Oryzias latipes: one gene and its partner. The protein of the gene in region 1 purifies or fractionates together with the protein of each later gene. This does not show direct contact. Links are inferred from orthologs where the notes say so. Each region holds a gene or a part of one and is shown on either strand. Other genes may lie near its edges.

Region 1 (8,389 bases):
CCTTTCCCGCTCCACGTCTGAGCGCTCCCAGGTGTGACCTTGTCGCCCGCAGATGAGGAAGAGGAGCCCGATGGAGCGGAGAGGCTCATGAGTCCTGCCACAGTACTTTCTGATGAGACCATGGAGATCATGCTGATCATGGCGTCTCTCTGTTCACCTTCCTCCTGGACCTTGGGCTTGACCTTTGGGGTCTGGCCTCCAGCCTGAGAAACAAGAAACATTATTAGGTCAGAAGTTCCATTCACACAAAAAGAGAGCGCTTGGCTTTCAGCAGGGGAGCCCAATCGGATCCATACGTCAGTGCACGTATGTGCATGTTTAACCACACAGAGTGCCAGATGTGTGATCGACCAGCCCCCTCTGCCTGCCATTGCATAGGCTCTGCTGGCACAGCCACGCGCCGGTTCCTAGGGTGAATGCCACTCCAGATTGCAGGAGCATTTGAAACCCACTCAGGCAGCAGTGCCGTCCAGAAGCATGTGCTTCTCGAGCCCCACCCATGAACCGGGCACCCGGCTGGGCTGCTGTGTGCACTCTGCCGTTGCTCGCCCACCACCCTGAAGAAAGCCCGAGCAGGTGGAGACCAAGAAACTGTGGGCTCCGCTAGCTTACAGGCAGAAACAAAGTCGTACCTTCCAGTTCCGAATCCGTTTAAGCCGACTAGGAGTTTTCTCCAAGATTTGCAGAAACTCATGCGTGAGTTCTGCAAAAGAGTTACAGGCTACAGTCACAAACTCTCCAAAGACGGATTTGCAGTTCTTTACACCATTTTTGCATTTACAAAAAAGAATAGTTAAAAAAAAAAACAACAGGATTTGTGAAGTACCGTCCAAAAGCTCCAAAGTAACCGTGGGATCAACGTATTCCCACCAGTGTTTGCCATCAGTGGAGACGGGGATCTCCCAGTTGGACCACTTGCATGCAAGATGTATGCACACGCAGGCCACGACGGGGGGGCAATACTGCAGGCAGAAGGTGGTCAAATGCAGACTGGGTGGCAGGACGCACGAAAAGAGAGAGAGAGAGGAAACAAATCAGCCCATTTCCACATCAAAATTCCCACCGTAAAGCCGATGTGAAAGGAGGGCATACCTGTTAGTTGCCATAAAGTAGGATGTTTGGGCCAGATCCTTGCTGGCTGCAATAAAACCAAAACAAAGAAACAAAAAAAGACCTTAAAGTCTGCAAATTAACAATTGGAGGTACAAGTTGTTGAATAGTGCCAAATAGACGGCATTTTTTTTCTTTATATACGCATATTGTGGACAAGGTGCTCACCTCTGACGAGCTGAGTGCACTTGACAACATGAGTGTGAGGATGATCAATGGTGATTTCAAAAGCTGCCACAAAAAGGGGGACAAGAAAAGAGAAAGACATCAGCTCACTGGTTGCCAAATTAAAACGTTCAGGTTTATTTGAACCATTTGGCTTCCACTGGATAGGTAACGTTACCAAAGACCCTAAGAAAAAAAACAAAAAATGTGTAATTATTCAAACAAAACGCCAAGTGGAGATCAACGTTTTATGAGAACTCTTCTCATGGGATCAAACCTTGGGCAAAATCAAAATATTAAAACCTAATCCACACAAAAAAGTAGAAGGAAAATTAAAAAATGGCCCATCATTTTCAGTTCCTCAAACATGTTCTGCTCCACGAAGTTGTGAAAAAGCATTCTTAAATTTATATAGAAAAAAAGGACGAAAATAAAGGACTGAAATGGTAAACGATAAAGAGAATGAAAGAAATGCGACTGAACAGTGGTGGAAATGCTTCTAACATGAGTTGAGTATGTGTTTTCCAGTGCTGATAACCACATTTGGAGTTTCTGGAAACAGAAAGCTGCAGAGGTCATCTCGGTCAGGATGATTCTCTGGAGGGAAAGGAAGGGTCCCAGGTTTGCCTCCCAAACTTACCCAAGGTCTGGAGTATTATGCTCTCAAGAATGACCAGGTCTTGGGCTTGTGTCAGGTAAGCCTGAGGTTGAGAGGACAGGCATGTTACTCTCCCAGACGCCTGCAAACTGTTGTCAAACAAGAGTGTCTGAGCAGCTCACTCTGTGGTCCTAGAAATGTTCGTCCATTCATGTAAAAGTCCACAAAGCGAGCGCAGACACTCCTGTTTTACAACCGATAGACATCACATCACCTGGGTGACTGAAACCTACACAATCAGACGCATTTTGACCCTTGCTCTCTCAACCCATAGGGAGCAGCGTCTCAAAAAAAAAAAACGTCAACAAGTCGGTCAAGTGGTTGTTTAAAGTTAACATGAAAAAGAAACCAAAGAGTTAAGAAACTCCCCCCGCCCCTCCTCTTATCACAGAACCATGGCAAACATTGTTCTTTCTAGAAAAGAAAAACTGGGATTAAGTGATGCACACAATTAAGACACAAGAACTGAGAAGACAGCTCAATGAAATGCAGTACACAGGAGAGCAGTTCAGATTTACAAGCCAAGCAGCGCTTTTGCAGTTTTTTTTGAAATGCAGGACAGACGAGTACTCATCTCACCGCCGTGAGACACTTACATCGCTGCGCACATCGGGCGACGGCTCCTGAGGATTGAGACACGCATGGGCCACTTTAATGACATGTTCCAGCTTCCTGGGCTGCTCTTCAACCTTTGCAGCGAGGAAAAGTGCGGCAGGAGAAATCACCTGAGGAGGAGGTGATAAGTTGTGACTTTTATTTCCACCGGTAAATAAATCTTTAAAACAAAATGGTTTTGGACATGAAAACACTTACATTTCGGTGAAATCGGGTGAAGGACTGGATCATGTAGAAGCGATGCATGTACACGATGGCTGTGTTAATGGTAAGTTGGGAGCTGTCACGCCAGTTAAGGACCATTGGAAAAACTGTGCAATCCTAAAACGCCACCGGAGAGAATTTTGCTAAAGTGACACAGACAGAACGTGTATCCTTAAAGCTGCGGACACACCGGACACGCGATGGACATTCTTGAGTGTAATCGCAGCATATGGTCTTCGCACTGCCCAAGTAGGGAGGGGCTTCTTCTCTCTCTTTATTACCATTTGTTAGCACATGTCTGCCACCTACTAGAAGTTTGGTGCGAAATGTCCAAGTGGGGAAAACCTCACAAAACTTGCTCCAGGCTTTTTCTTTCACAGCTCTATTCCGACATGAAAGACTTGGTTCATAGAATTCTGGCTGGGCACAAACTCTGATAATTTCTCTTTTAAAATCATCAAATGGACGGTACAACCGTGAATCAAAAGTGACGCCATCCATACCCAACTACCAAGTCCGAGATTTACACGGACTTTTTTTAATTGGAATAGGCTGCATAGCACACGTTGCAGACATTAACTGTAAATACAAACTAGACATACTGACCCCTCCTCCCTTATGTTCCAAACAGGAAGTACCCCCTGGCTCCAAGAAGCCAAAATTCCCATAGACTTTTATAGAGAAATAGATGGCTATTACTCAGTCACACTGCTTGTCACTCAGAATAACAGTTCTTGCTCTGCTATATATATTTTTTTACAGGTTCTTGCAAATTTATTTCCTGGTCTTTTTTTCTTAATCACAATTTATAAACTGACCAATCAAATGTCTCGGTAAAATGATTTGGTGCCCACTGGCCCCCCATCTCCAACCTTTGACAGATTCTCCCAAGCCACTTTCCGTGGAAGTGGTGTGGAATTCAAACATGCTTAGGATATAAAAGCCCCTCCCTTTCTTCTTAAATGGTGTGCATCTAATTAGCCAGTCGTGGCGGTTAAAGAAATAAACAAGTAGGTGGTGCAGATTACAGTAGATTACTAGCTCTTGGGAGCTTTGTGTGTCCTATTCAGAGCTCTTCTGGATCGCAGTCTGAGCATGCCTCTTAATTTGAAAATAAAACGTTTAGCTTAGTTACATTCATATAAACAAAAAAACTAAGAAATACAGTTAAATCTGGGAATTCTTTAGCAACATTCACGTGTTTTATGAGCTTTCCATAACTTAGGATACCCTTTGGTTGGAGGGCCTCCTTTAAATTTCACCGTGAGGCCCCCCAGAACATATGAAGCGTCCATGATGAGGATAATAAAAATAGCCCATCATGATTTTTACCACCACACCACAAACAACGAAAGCCAGGTTGCAGTACAGTAGTATAACCTCAATCCCTCACTCACAGCCTCTGAAGAGGCTTTTCAAGCCTACAAATAAACAATTTTCCTAAAAAGTTGATTCAATTTCAATTTATACTATAACTGTGCTGTTTATTTTTTAGCAGAATATATTCATCTGTTCAGAAAACTTCTTCCTAGTCATTTGCGGCTAGTGAAGCTAACGTCCCGGACAGGCCTGTCGAGCTACAGGCCTTGGTGGACCCGGCTAGCCTGAGACGCCGCAGGGAGATGTTAACGTAGAAACAGCGACGGAAAACAACCGCCATTTAGTCAACAACACACGATACTAACAAATAAACAAGAACCCGTCGAACAACACAAGAAATACCGGCCACGCTCTTGGCCGAGCAGGTTACACTTTGCTGGCTAGCATGCTAATGCTAGCTACGTGCGACGCAGCACGACAAAAGATACACATTGAGCCGCTGTCCCATGTCCTGGATCAGGTTCGCTGCCTGTTGCCTGTACGACAGCTCCTTGTCGGGGTCTAGTCCAGCTCGCCGAGAGGGGTTGTTGTCGATCTCCTGCCTGGTGAAGTACCATTTATTATTATTGCTTGCAGGGAGAGAACGAAACGAAGCCGCCATTACTAAGAAGGACGAGAGTTTAAAATTTCTGCGCGTCACAGGAACATACGTCACAGAGGGCGCTGTTCCTCTGGTAACCGACAGATGTCGCCAAAACCAATGTGTTACTAGGCAATATGGGTTTTTGCATTTCCTTCACAGATTCTGTGTTGGATTTTTTGGATACTTTTTCTTCTCTTTTTTGCAGTGTGGTGGTATAAATATTACTCCATAAAGATACAGCCCCGTTTCATTCACAGTGCAACTGATTGAAGGAGGTTTTCACTCAAATCTATCTTTCCTTAATAAGTCTTCTTGTCCACTTCGCAGAAAACCAGCCCCAAAGCATAACGTTTCCACCACCATGCCTCACAGTTAGTATGGTGTTCTTGGGGATAAAACTCAGCATTTTTGTTCTCCTAGTGCTCCTCTGGATCAGCCTCTGGCATGATTTAACAAACATGGACATGTGCTGGAGGTGGACCATTGGAGCTTCACTTTCTGACTTTCTCAATCTACTGATCAATATTTGTTCCAAAACTCACCTGTGGTCATGAGCTCTGGGGGATGACTGAAGGAACGAGGTCCTGAATACATGAGCTTCCTCCATCGGGTGGCTGGGCGGTCTTGTAGAGATAGGGTGAGAAGCTTGATCACCTGGAGAGAGCTCGGAGTAGATCCACGTCTCCCCTAGATCAAGCAGAGCCAGATGAGGCGGCTCAGCCATCTGGTCTGGATGCCTCCAGAGCCCCTCCCTGGTGAGGCGTTCTGGGCATGTCCCACTGGGCGGTGGGCCCAGGGAAGAACAGGACACGGTGGAGAAACGATGTCTCTCAGCTGCGCTGGGAAGGCCTTGGTGCTGACTGACCGCAACCTGGGCAGAATAAGATGGAATGATGGATGGATGGATGGATGGATGAAATGATGGATGGATGGTTGGATGGACGGAATGATGGATAGATAGATAGATAGATAGATAGATAGATAGATAGATAGATAGATAGATAGATAGATAGATAGATAGATAGATAGATAGATAGATAGATAGATAGATAGATAGATAGATAGATAGATAGATAGATAGATAGATAGATGGATGGATGGATGGATGGATGGATGGATGGATGGATGGATGGATGGATGGATGGATGGATGGATGGATGGATGGATGGATGGATGGATGGATGGATGGATGGATGGATGGATGGATGGATGGATGGATGGATGGATGGATGGATGGATGGATGGATGGATGGATGGATAGATGGATGGATGGATGGATAGATGGATGGATGGATAGATGGATGGATGAAATGTTGGATGGATGGATGGATGGATGGATGGATGAAATGTTGGATGGATGCATGGAATGATAAATGGATGGATGGATGGATAGAATGATGGATGGAAGGATGGATGGATGGATGCATGGAATGATGAATGGATGGATGGATGGATGGATGGATGGATGGATGGATGGATGGATGGAATGATGGATGGATGGATGGATGGATGGATGGATGGATAGAATGATGGATGGATGTATAGATGGAAGAATGGATGGATGGAATGATGGATGGATTGAATGATGGAAGGATGAATGGATAGATGAATGAAATGATGGATGGATGGATGGATGGATGGAATGATGGATACAGCCATTGATGGCGTAGTTCCACTTAAAACTAAAACGTTGAAAACTAAAGCTACAGCACCCTGGAGGAACGAATCAATCAGAGCCATGAAACGTGAATGCAGGAGTGCGGAGAGGAAGTGGAGAAAAACGAAATTAACTATACATCGCAAAATTTTTAAAGAACCGCAAATGATGTACAACCATGCAATAAAAAAAAGCAAACTTGATTTTACAAAACAAAAATGATCCTAAAGTTCTCTTTAAAACAATAGACAGTTTAATTAAAAGAGACTCTTAAAGGTCCTCCACAGCAGCCTCAGATGCTGTATGTGAGAGTTTTGCCGACCACTTCAAGAGTAAAATCAATGCTATTAGATCTAGTCTCTTAACTCAAAAAGGTGTCGTTTTGAATAAAACTATAGCATTGCATTTATCAGAGGAAACACTGGAAAGTTTTGTCCTGGTTGATGCTGTGGCACTTGGTCAGGTTTTCTCCCAGTTAAAGCCAACCACCTGCCTTTTAGACCCAATCCCCACATCGTTGTTGAAAACATTTTATGACTTCTTTGAGTCTGAGCTTTTAAATATAGTAACTTATCGTTTCCCCACTTCAGGAGGAAGCCAGGTCTCTACATTCCATCATTTTTTTTATCATGGTGTGCGTATGAGTGTGTGTTTGGGGGGTTGTTGGCACTCTTTGTCTTGTCATCTTGTTTTTAAATTTTATTGTATTTTATGCACAGCACTTTGTGACATGTGTTGTTGTAAAAGTGCTATATAAATAAAGGTTAATTTGATCTACCAAGTTTAGTAGAAAATGTTTATTGCAAAACTGTAAATCCAACTAGATTCTTTGAAACTAAAAAATATTTTCCTTCTCACAAGTTCCTAAACATTTCTTTCCGTTTTTTGTCTCCAAGCTGTGTTCAAACAAAATTCAGAATAATATAAATATATATATATATACTTTAATCGAGAATATGTAAAAGTTATGTTTCTTGATGAGTGAAGTAGATTTATGTACTAGTTGAAAGTAAAGTATGAAAGAACAAGAACGCGTACGTTCGACTGCTCTTCACATCAGCTTTTAACACCATCATCCCGCAGACCCTCACCCAGAAACTACACACACTAGGACTGAACCCCACTCTGTGCAACTGGGTCTTGGACTTCCTGACAGACAGACCACAGTCTGTAAAAATCCGCAACGTCTCCTCCTCCCCGATCACCCTCAGCACGGGCTCCCCCCAGGGCTGTGTGCTGAGCCCCCTCCTGTTCACCCTGCTCACGCACGACTGCACAGCGATTCACCCCAGCTGTCTGATCGTGAAGTTTGCGGATGACACAGCCGTGGTTGGACGCATCTCTAACAACGATGAGTCCAACTACAGGCAGGAGGTGGAACATCTGGAGAGCTGGTGCAGAGACAACAAGCTCTGCATCAACGGGAAGAAGACCAAGGAGATGATCGTGGATTTCAGGAAGGACAGATGCCCCCCTCCCCCCATTCACATCGGAGGGGACGGGGTGGAAGTGGTTTCCAGCTTCAGGTATCTGGGCGTGCACATCTCCAGCGACCTCACCTGGAGCACCAACACCTCCTGCCTGGTCAAGAAGGCACACCAGCACCTGTATTTTCTGAGGAGGCTCAGGCGTGCTGGGATGGGGATCTCAGTGCTGACCTTCTACAGGTGTGTGGTGGAGAGCGTCATGACCTCCTGCATCACTGTGTGGCACGGCAGCTGCTCTGCGGCAGAGAGGAAAGCTCTGCAACGAGTGACAAAAGCTGCACAGAGGACTGTGGGCTGTAGCCTGCCGTCCACCACTGATATCTATACGACCAGATGCAGGGCCTCCCGCATCCAGAAAGACCCCACTCACCCCTCACACCCTCTGTTCTCCCTGCTCCCCTCAGGCAGGAGACTGAGGAGCATAAAGAGCAGGACCACCAGACTGAGGAACAGTTTCTTTCCTGAAGCAGTCAGACTGCTGAACTCCGGTTGATCACTGCACACCCCCCCCTCCCCCCCCTCTCCATGGA
Region 2 (7,091 bases), on another chromosome or scaffold:
GCGGGGTCGCTCCACGCCAGTGATCCCGCCCACAACTCACAGGTGAAAGGTTTTTTGATTTTCTTTTATATAAACTGCAAGAACGTCATTTTAAAAACCACTGGGAAAGCCTCAAAAATAGATCAGAGTACGATGGGAGTGGGACTTTAAAGACACTTTTGTCTTCAAATGATGCAATTTGTCAAAAAATGTTCCTAATTGTACATCTCAGCTTTGATGGGTTCTTGTTTTTTTAGACTTCTGTTTTACTCCCAAAGCCAAGATCTTCTATTAGCTCCAAAAATTGTACTACCTTGTACATCTCTGGATGATTAATAAAGTTTTCCTGCTTCTCATTTTATGACTTCAATGCTTCCAATGGTTTGATGCATTGTAGGTGAAGAAGAGGAGAAAAAAAAGCGTAAAAAGAAGAAGAAGAAAGACGCTTCAACAGCTGAGACGCCTGCAGGAGAAGTCAAGGAGATGGAGACCGAAGCCTTTCAGCCGAAGAAGAAACACTCGGCAGCGAAGGACTCGGAGAAAAGAGCTGCAAACCCGGAGAGGGAACAGAGCAAAGTGTCAGAGAAAAAGCGACGGCGCTCTCAGACGGCGGAGGGCGCTGAGAGTGAAGTGCCGTCTAAGATTAGAAAGAGGAGCTGCAGTGAATCTGGGGAGAAAGAGAAAGAAAAGAGTGGTGAGCGCAGACTTCCCCTACTTTTAGATTCTCTTTTCTTTTAGACTCATCTCCATGTGTCCCGAGTTGGCTAACAGACGTGGGTGCAGAGCTGCTGTCCAACCAGCTGACTGCTGAGCTCATGGTGTGATTCCCCCTCCTTCCCCGTAGATTCAGCCACCGAAGGCGACGGCGAGAAGGGAAATGAGAACGGCGACGACTCGGCCGTGAAGGCGAAGAGGAAGCGGAAAAAGAAACACAAAGAAAAATTGAAAATTGGAGAAGAAGTCATTCCACTTCGAGTTTTATCAAAGTTAGCAGCAACTTTTTGATGATTTGCTATAAAATGCCTTAAATTCCAGTTGAATCCTTTTTATTTACTCCCCTTTTTTTTTTTTTTTTTCCAGGAAAGAGTGGCTCCAGCTGAAGCAGCAATATTTAGCTCTGCAGAAAAGCAGCATGTCGTCCTTGAAGAAGTGCTTCAACAAGATTGAAAGCAAAGAGCAGGGAAGCGCTGAAGACAGGAGCGGTGGGTTTGCTCAAACACTTCCACGTTGACGACACATGATTAGTAAATGACGTCTCATGAGTTCAGTTTTGGGACTCAGGGAGGGGGTTTTCCGACAGGCTCTGTTGTCATTTCTCTCTTGATTTTTGTCTAAAACTTGCCTTGTTTACCTTGCGGTCTGACCTTCAAAGCCCCACTCTAGTGGTAGTTGTGGTTTTAACATGTTCTTTTGGCTTTTTTCTGATGTTGGAGGACATGCATAAAAACAATTAAGCTTAAATTTGCACTTCTGAGTAGTTCTTTATTTAAATTATTTGGAATCCGGAGCAGACGAAAAAATGAAGTTGGAAAAACATCATGTTGGTGACGTAGAAAATACTCTGGGTGGGCCACAAGCTCCCTGCTCTGCTCCATTCTGATGCATCCACTTGCAGATCCGTGTACGTCTTTGTTTCCCTTGTCTGAGCTGGCATCTAGTTTAAAACTGAGGCTCCAACGTTGCTCGCCACTTTTGTTGCATCACTAATGTTAGGTTGGAAAGCTAGCTCTCAGTCATGGATTGGCGGGCAGAGGGGGTGAGGCTGCATCGTGCCCACAGCCCCGCCCACAACTCAGAATTGAATTTCTAATGAACTACTGTTGCTCTGCAGAAACGATGTAAACTATGCTCATGTTCCTCGCAACTGATATACATAATGAAATGCAACATTATTTTGTTAACTTGCAGTTGAAAGCAAAAAAGAAAACAACCAGAGTCCTCAGTTTGTCAGTGGCGTCATCGTGAAGATCACAGACAGCAAACCTCTACCAGCAAGGAAGATCGTCAAGGTGCTGGATCCTTTCTGGCTTCTCTTTTTATGATTTGAAGCTGCAGTTTGTCATAGAAAATGCAGGATTTCTTGTCCGTGGGAGCAATGTTGTGGTTCAGGTTGTATAAGGTGTCACTGCTGTGTGCAGGAGATCCTGTGTGAAGTGTCTCAAGTGGCTTACGTCGACATCCTGGATGGAGATTCAGAGGGTTATGTGCGCTTTTTGACACCAGAGGGCGCCAAAGGTGTCTGCCAGGCCAAAGCACAGCTGCAGAAGGAGCACAGCTGGAAGGTTGAGATTCTAACAGGTGTGACATGGTTCCTCCAGTCCGTGTTTGAACGTCATCTTTTCCCATTGAGCTCAGGTTTGCTCTCTGACTTTTCCTAAAGGAGACCAAGAGCAGCGGTATTGGCATAAGATCCTCGTGGACCGCCAGGTGAAGCTGAATCGCCCCCGAGAAAAAAAGAGAGGCAAAGAGAAGGTGAAGTTCAGTCGCACGTCCTTGTGGTGCATCTCGGTTCTCAAACTAACACTTGCCAGTTGTCAATTGAAGTATTTGTTTCCTGTTTGGTAAGTAACAGTCAAAGGGCTGCTCGCCAGACAAAAAAAAAATACAAACTCTAACTTTGATTATTTCCGTTTTGTTTATTTTCTGATACTAAAGGAAGTTTTATTTTGGAAAACTACCAGATTCTGTTCACCACATCCGTCTGTCTTGACGCGTCACGTGACTTTAAGCAGCTGCTCGTTCGCTAAGTTAGTAGTTCAACACTTAAAAGCTAACAAAAACCAAACAATTCAACGTATTTGGAAAGTTTCTTTGGGGAGAAGAGTCAGTGAAGAAACTAAAGAAGAGTCTTTGGCTGCAAAGAAAATAAAGCTGCTATTTACAGACAGAACTAGAAGTTTTCCTCCAAATACGGATTTATTGAGACAATTGTTTTCACGTACCAGAAGCTGCTCGCTTTGCCTAATCAGGAATCAGGAAATCTTTATTGTCATTTTATCACATGATAAAACGAAATTAGGCTCTCTGGTCCCGGGCCAGCCGTTTACATTCAGACATAAATAAATAATATAATATCAATGTGATATCAATATGTTACGGTGTGGTTCCTGGTGAGTATTGCACAAAAAGTATGTTTCAATATGCAGCGACTGACACATATGCAGGTAATGAAGATGTAGACACGGTGGATTCATGTTTATTATCATGTTTATAAAATACCACTTTATAGACAGTTGTGTCATTATTTTTGCTTTCTTTATCCATCATTAAACGTTGAAGCTGAAGTTAGCATCCAGTTGTTGGCATCCACGTTGACGTTAAAGGGAAAATCTTCATCACAAAGTTTAAGTTTAACCAGCTGAAAACATTTTACGGAGAATGAAGATTCAATTCAGTTACTGATTAGTGGAAACTTATAAAAAGGAGATTTAGGAATTTTCCTACAGCAAGGCTGAATTATGCAGACATCTGTTAAGAAACTTGATCAAAGAAAATGTTCCTAAAAAAACACAATGAATCAGAATTTATGAAAAAACAAAATATGATCAATCTTTTTGTCCTGAAAGATGATCTGATACTGGCTTTAGTTCTCAGTGTTATAATGGTGTTCAATAAATTAACAATAAAAAATGCTTGTTTTAATTGCATTATTTACAAAACTGAAACAACTTCTACAAAACAACTTTGTTTCATTGAATTTTGGTTTTCTGTGAAAAAAATCTACCAATGTTACTAAAGTTCTTGTTATCTTTTGTTTTAATTATGTAGTGAAAACACCAGAGGGTTTTCTGGGTAAAAAAGTGTCATCATTTGCTTTAGATTTCCACATTGGTCGATCAAAAACGAAATTTCTGCCACTGGCTGGATCATTAAAGCAGACATGATTATTGAACAGAAACTCTTTTGCAGAAGCTTTTAAGGAACTCATCCAATCTTGTCTCATCTCCCCTCAGCTCATATCTAAAGCTGAAAAAATCATCATGGCAAGAGCCAAGGAGGCGAACAAGCACATCCGCTTTGAGGAGGACTGAGCTGCACACGTTCAACTGATGTTTCCTGTCTTGAAGGAGGACTTGAATGGTTTTAAGTAGTTTCTGTCCTTTTGGGGTTTTTTTTTGTTGTTTTTTTGGCACTAGAGTTCCAAAAATGCCACGTACTGCTGATAAAGACAGAGCTTTCTTTACCAGGTTCTTGTGTGTTTAAAGCAATCCTGTATAGATACTACATAAATGAACTCCAAATGAAAATCTTATTGTTTTTTTACTAATAAAGAAAACAGAAATTTCACGATCACAATGTTTGTTTTAAATTCAGACACTCCTGTGCTTGTTAAAGACTCACTTCCATTAATTTTTGATCCATTTTCAGAGCCTTCCCAGTGGTCTTTTCACTATGATCTGCTGTTTTTAGCCGAAATCAAAAGCCTGTTGTCTGGTGGGACATAGTTTCTGCAGAGCGGCAGTAGTTACCTCAGAGTTGTGGGCGGGACTGGTGGTTCAGAGCAACCCGACCCATAGCTGAGAGTCAATAGGGAGTCATCCTCACTAATACACTCTCTAATCTGCATTTTTTCCGTCTGGTCCTGATTCACAGCGGTTTGAATACAGACATACTCAGACTTTTCTAAATACATGTCTTCCATCGTCAAAAGGAACATGTTAAAAACATAATTATCATCGGAGTGGCTCTTTAAGATGGCTGTTTCATCAACATAGACGCTTACACATATCATGTCGGTTTGTTTTAATCTTTTAAGAAGACTTGTTAGTCTTGATGGAGGCTGATGAAGTAATTCAAGACAGAGTCCTGAGGAGGCTGGTTGTTGCAGCTTTGGTTTGGTTTGGAGACGTCCTCGTTTGTCTGGATAGCAGATTCCCAGCCGTCCTTTTGCGGTGGCTGGATCGCCATCGTGCCTCTCTCTCTGGGCTTCACAGACAGCCCGGTCCACTCGATGCCTTTATCCTCGCTGGCTTCACACTCTGCCTTTGGCGACTGGTGCTTGTGCTCTGCTGCTGGATTAGCCTCCTTGAACTGAGAGTAGAGCTTCAAAACCTTCAGAGAGTCCCTGACGTCAGCCGGAGGGAGATGACCTCCACTGGTCCAGGCCATCCTCCAGCTTTTCTGCGCCTCATCTACAGTGGCGGAAAAATCCAGCCTGCCGCTGGTGACCCTTTCAGAGTGTCCGTCGTCCTTTGGGAGCCGGTCGTCTTTCTGTTGGCACTTCCTGCTCTCTTTGCCAGAATCCCTCACAGGAACCAGTCCATGGGAAGCTACTAAGTTGTCCTCAAGCTTGCATGGGTGACGTTTCTTGGCTTTCCAAGCTTTAAAATCCTCTGGAAAAAATGAACACATTTATTGCAAAAAGTCAGATTTAAAAACCGTTGATGTTTATGAGAAAAAATTGCAATTTTCTTGCCTGTGTAAGTGGTTGTGTGGACGGCCTTGTTGTCCTTTTCCCCCTGAGGTGCAGAGTGTCGTTTAGGTGTTGCTGGTGGCAGCGCAGCCTTTTGGATTGATGCGTCTCTTTTCTTGTCTTTTCTGAAACAGACAAGAACATAACACGTAACCCAGACACGAGTGGGAGGGGGGGAAAAAAAAAAGTCAAAACTGAAGAATAAAATAAATGGAAAAGTAAAAGGAAAGTTACTTGTGTGAGGCGTATTTTTCGAGGCTTGGTGAGAGGAAGCGGGTCTCATACTCCATCAGGAACATAGATCTGGGAAAAGACATGACATCACAGTCCTAATGAGATGTTTTTGGTGAAAACTTTCAACGTTATCAACAACAACAACCAAAAAAATAAGGATATTGTTGGGTTGCATGTATAATCAAATAAAAACTGCAAGAATATCCCTCATGCAGCACCTTTGCCTGCAGAAGAAGCCATTTTTGGGGCCACTTCTGCTTCTCACTGAGAGGTTTTCTTGTCTTACAAGCCAAAGCAGTCATTAAAATGCAGCATAAAAGGCGTAAGGATGTGAAACCATATGGATTCAGTGCATGAATGGATAGAAAACATAAATTTCAAGTCCCAGTCCAATTATCTTTTGATATATTTTAAAAGCAATCCCAGTGATCTTTTCATTATAATTGCTTTTTGCAGTTTTGCCGGTTATTCCTGAAGGTTGTACATGTTATCCATGTGTATACATTTTTTTTTCGTTTATACTTTTTTTTTTCTTCAAATTTCATATTGTAATTTTTAGTATTGTATCGTTTTTCTTTTAAATTCTCTTGTATTTTTTCATCTTTACATAGCTTGGTTGGTAATTTTTTGTATCCAGTCTTCATCTGTCCTTCAATTGTATTTTAAAAACCCACATCTGCCTACATACATGTCATAACTCCGGATGGAGCCCGTATTGCATTCTGGGATATCCTTAAGGTAACTTCCGATAAACGTTTGCAGCTAGCTTGCAAGTATGTTAAAAAAAAAAAAAGCTTGCAAGTATATTTTCAAACGCTTCATGAACAACACTGACTCAAAAACTCAACTTTTATAGGTAAAAATGAAATCTTTGGCAGTTTTGTTTTTAACCGGAACATTATGCCATGGCAACGGAATATTATACCATGGCAATGTTTTAAAACGACAGTTTTAAAAATAAAGTTTTATTTGAAACTGTTTGGTTTCTAAAACTCTGAACATGCACAGAAAAATACTTTAAAATGTTGACAAAAATGGAGAACAAATTATGTTATCTTTTTTGAAAACCGATCTTTATTCATATTAAAATTTAATAAAAAGTGAATTACTAATTCGAACAACGGTTTTATTTAGTACTTTAGTGGTGATAGTTTTTTATTATAAAAAAAAACAAAACTAGATCAAAACATGAGTTTTTAGTTGAGTAGAAGCATAATAGAGTTAATAAAAGCCAAGAGAGAAAAAACGCAACTCTTTTAGCTAACGTGGTCTTTTTTTTTTCCTTTTTCTTTTTTTTTTTACCGCCTTTTTTGTTCATAACAGGAAAACTATCTATTTCAGCTCACCTTCTCCTCGTGAATTCCCTGTTTGCTGGTGGGTTCATGTCTTCTGTTTGTGGTTTCTCTGCCATGAACAAACCGAAAAAAATGAAAGAAGAAAAAAAAAAAACGTTTCTACCGTTCTA

Evidence for each region. Proteins that work in one complex are often made in the same cells at the same time.
Region 2: the proteins of ccnt1 (region 1) and larp7 purify together in Homo sapiens (affinity purification with mass spectrometry; 10 studies listed by BioGRID and IntAct, with this or other methods). This does not show direct contact. The link is inferred for Oryzias latipes from reciprocal best matches to the Homo sapiens genes CCNT1 and LARP7.

What each region holds. Positions count from the first base shown.
Region 1 is NC_019865.2:25,913,724-25,922,112, reverse strand, and holds the start of ccnt1 (cyclin-T1), read right to left. Parts: upstream 4,768-8,389; 5' UTR 4,734-4,767; coding exon 4,561-4,733; intron 2,829-4,560; coding exon 2,747-2,828; intron 2,659-2,746; coding exon 2,530-2,658; intron 1,977-2,529; coding exon 1,916-1,976; intron 1,342-1,915; coding exon 1,279-1,341; intron 1,151-1,278; coding exon 1,093-1,150; intron 991-1,092; coding exon 827-990; intron 704-826; coding exon 633-703; intron 204-632; coding exon 1-203. UniProt on the Homo sapiens protein: Regulatory subunit of the cyclin-dependent kinase pair (CDK9/cyclin-T1) complex, also called positive transcription elongation factor B (P-TEFb), which facilitates the transition from abortive to productive elongation by phosphorylating the CTD (C-terminal domain) of the large subunit of RNA polymerase II (RNA Pol II).
Region 2 is NC_019876.2:11,520,446-11,527,536, reverse strand, and holds the end of larp7 (la-related protein 7), read left to right. Parts: intron 1-376; coding exon 377-673; intron 674-823; coding exon 824-965; intron 966-1,059; coding exon 1,060-1,181; intron 1,182-1,887; coding exon 1,888-1,988; intron 1,989-2,117; coding exon 2,118-2,277; intron 2,278-2,359; coding exon 2,360-2,451; intron 2,452-3,932; coding exon 3,933-4,010; 3' UTR 4,011-4,272; downstream 4,273-7,091. Other genes in the region: uncharacterized protein LOC101168076, read right to left, coding at 4,744-5,312, 5,396-5,517, 5,627-5,695, 6,973-7,037. UniProt on the Homo sapiens protein: RNA-binding protein that specifically binds distinct small nuclear RNA (snRNAs) and regulates their processing and function.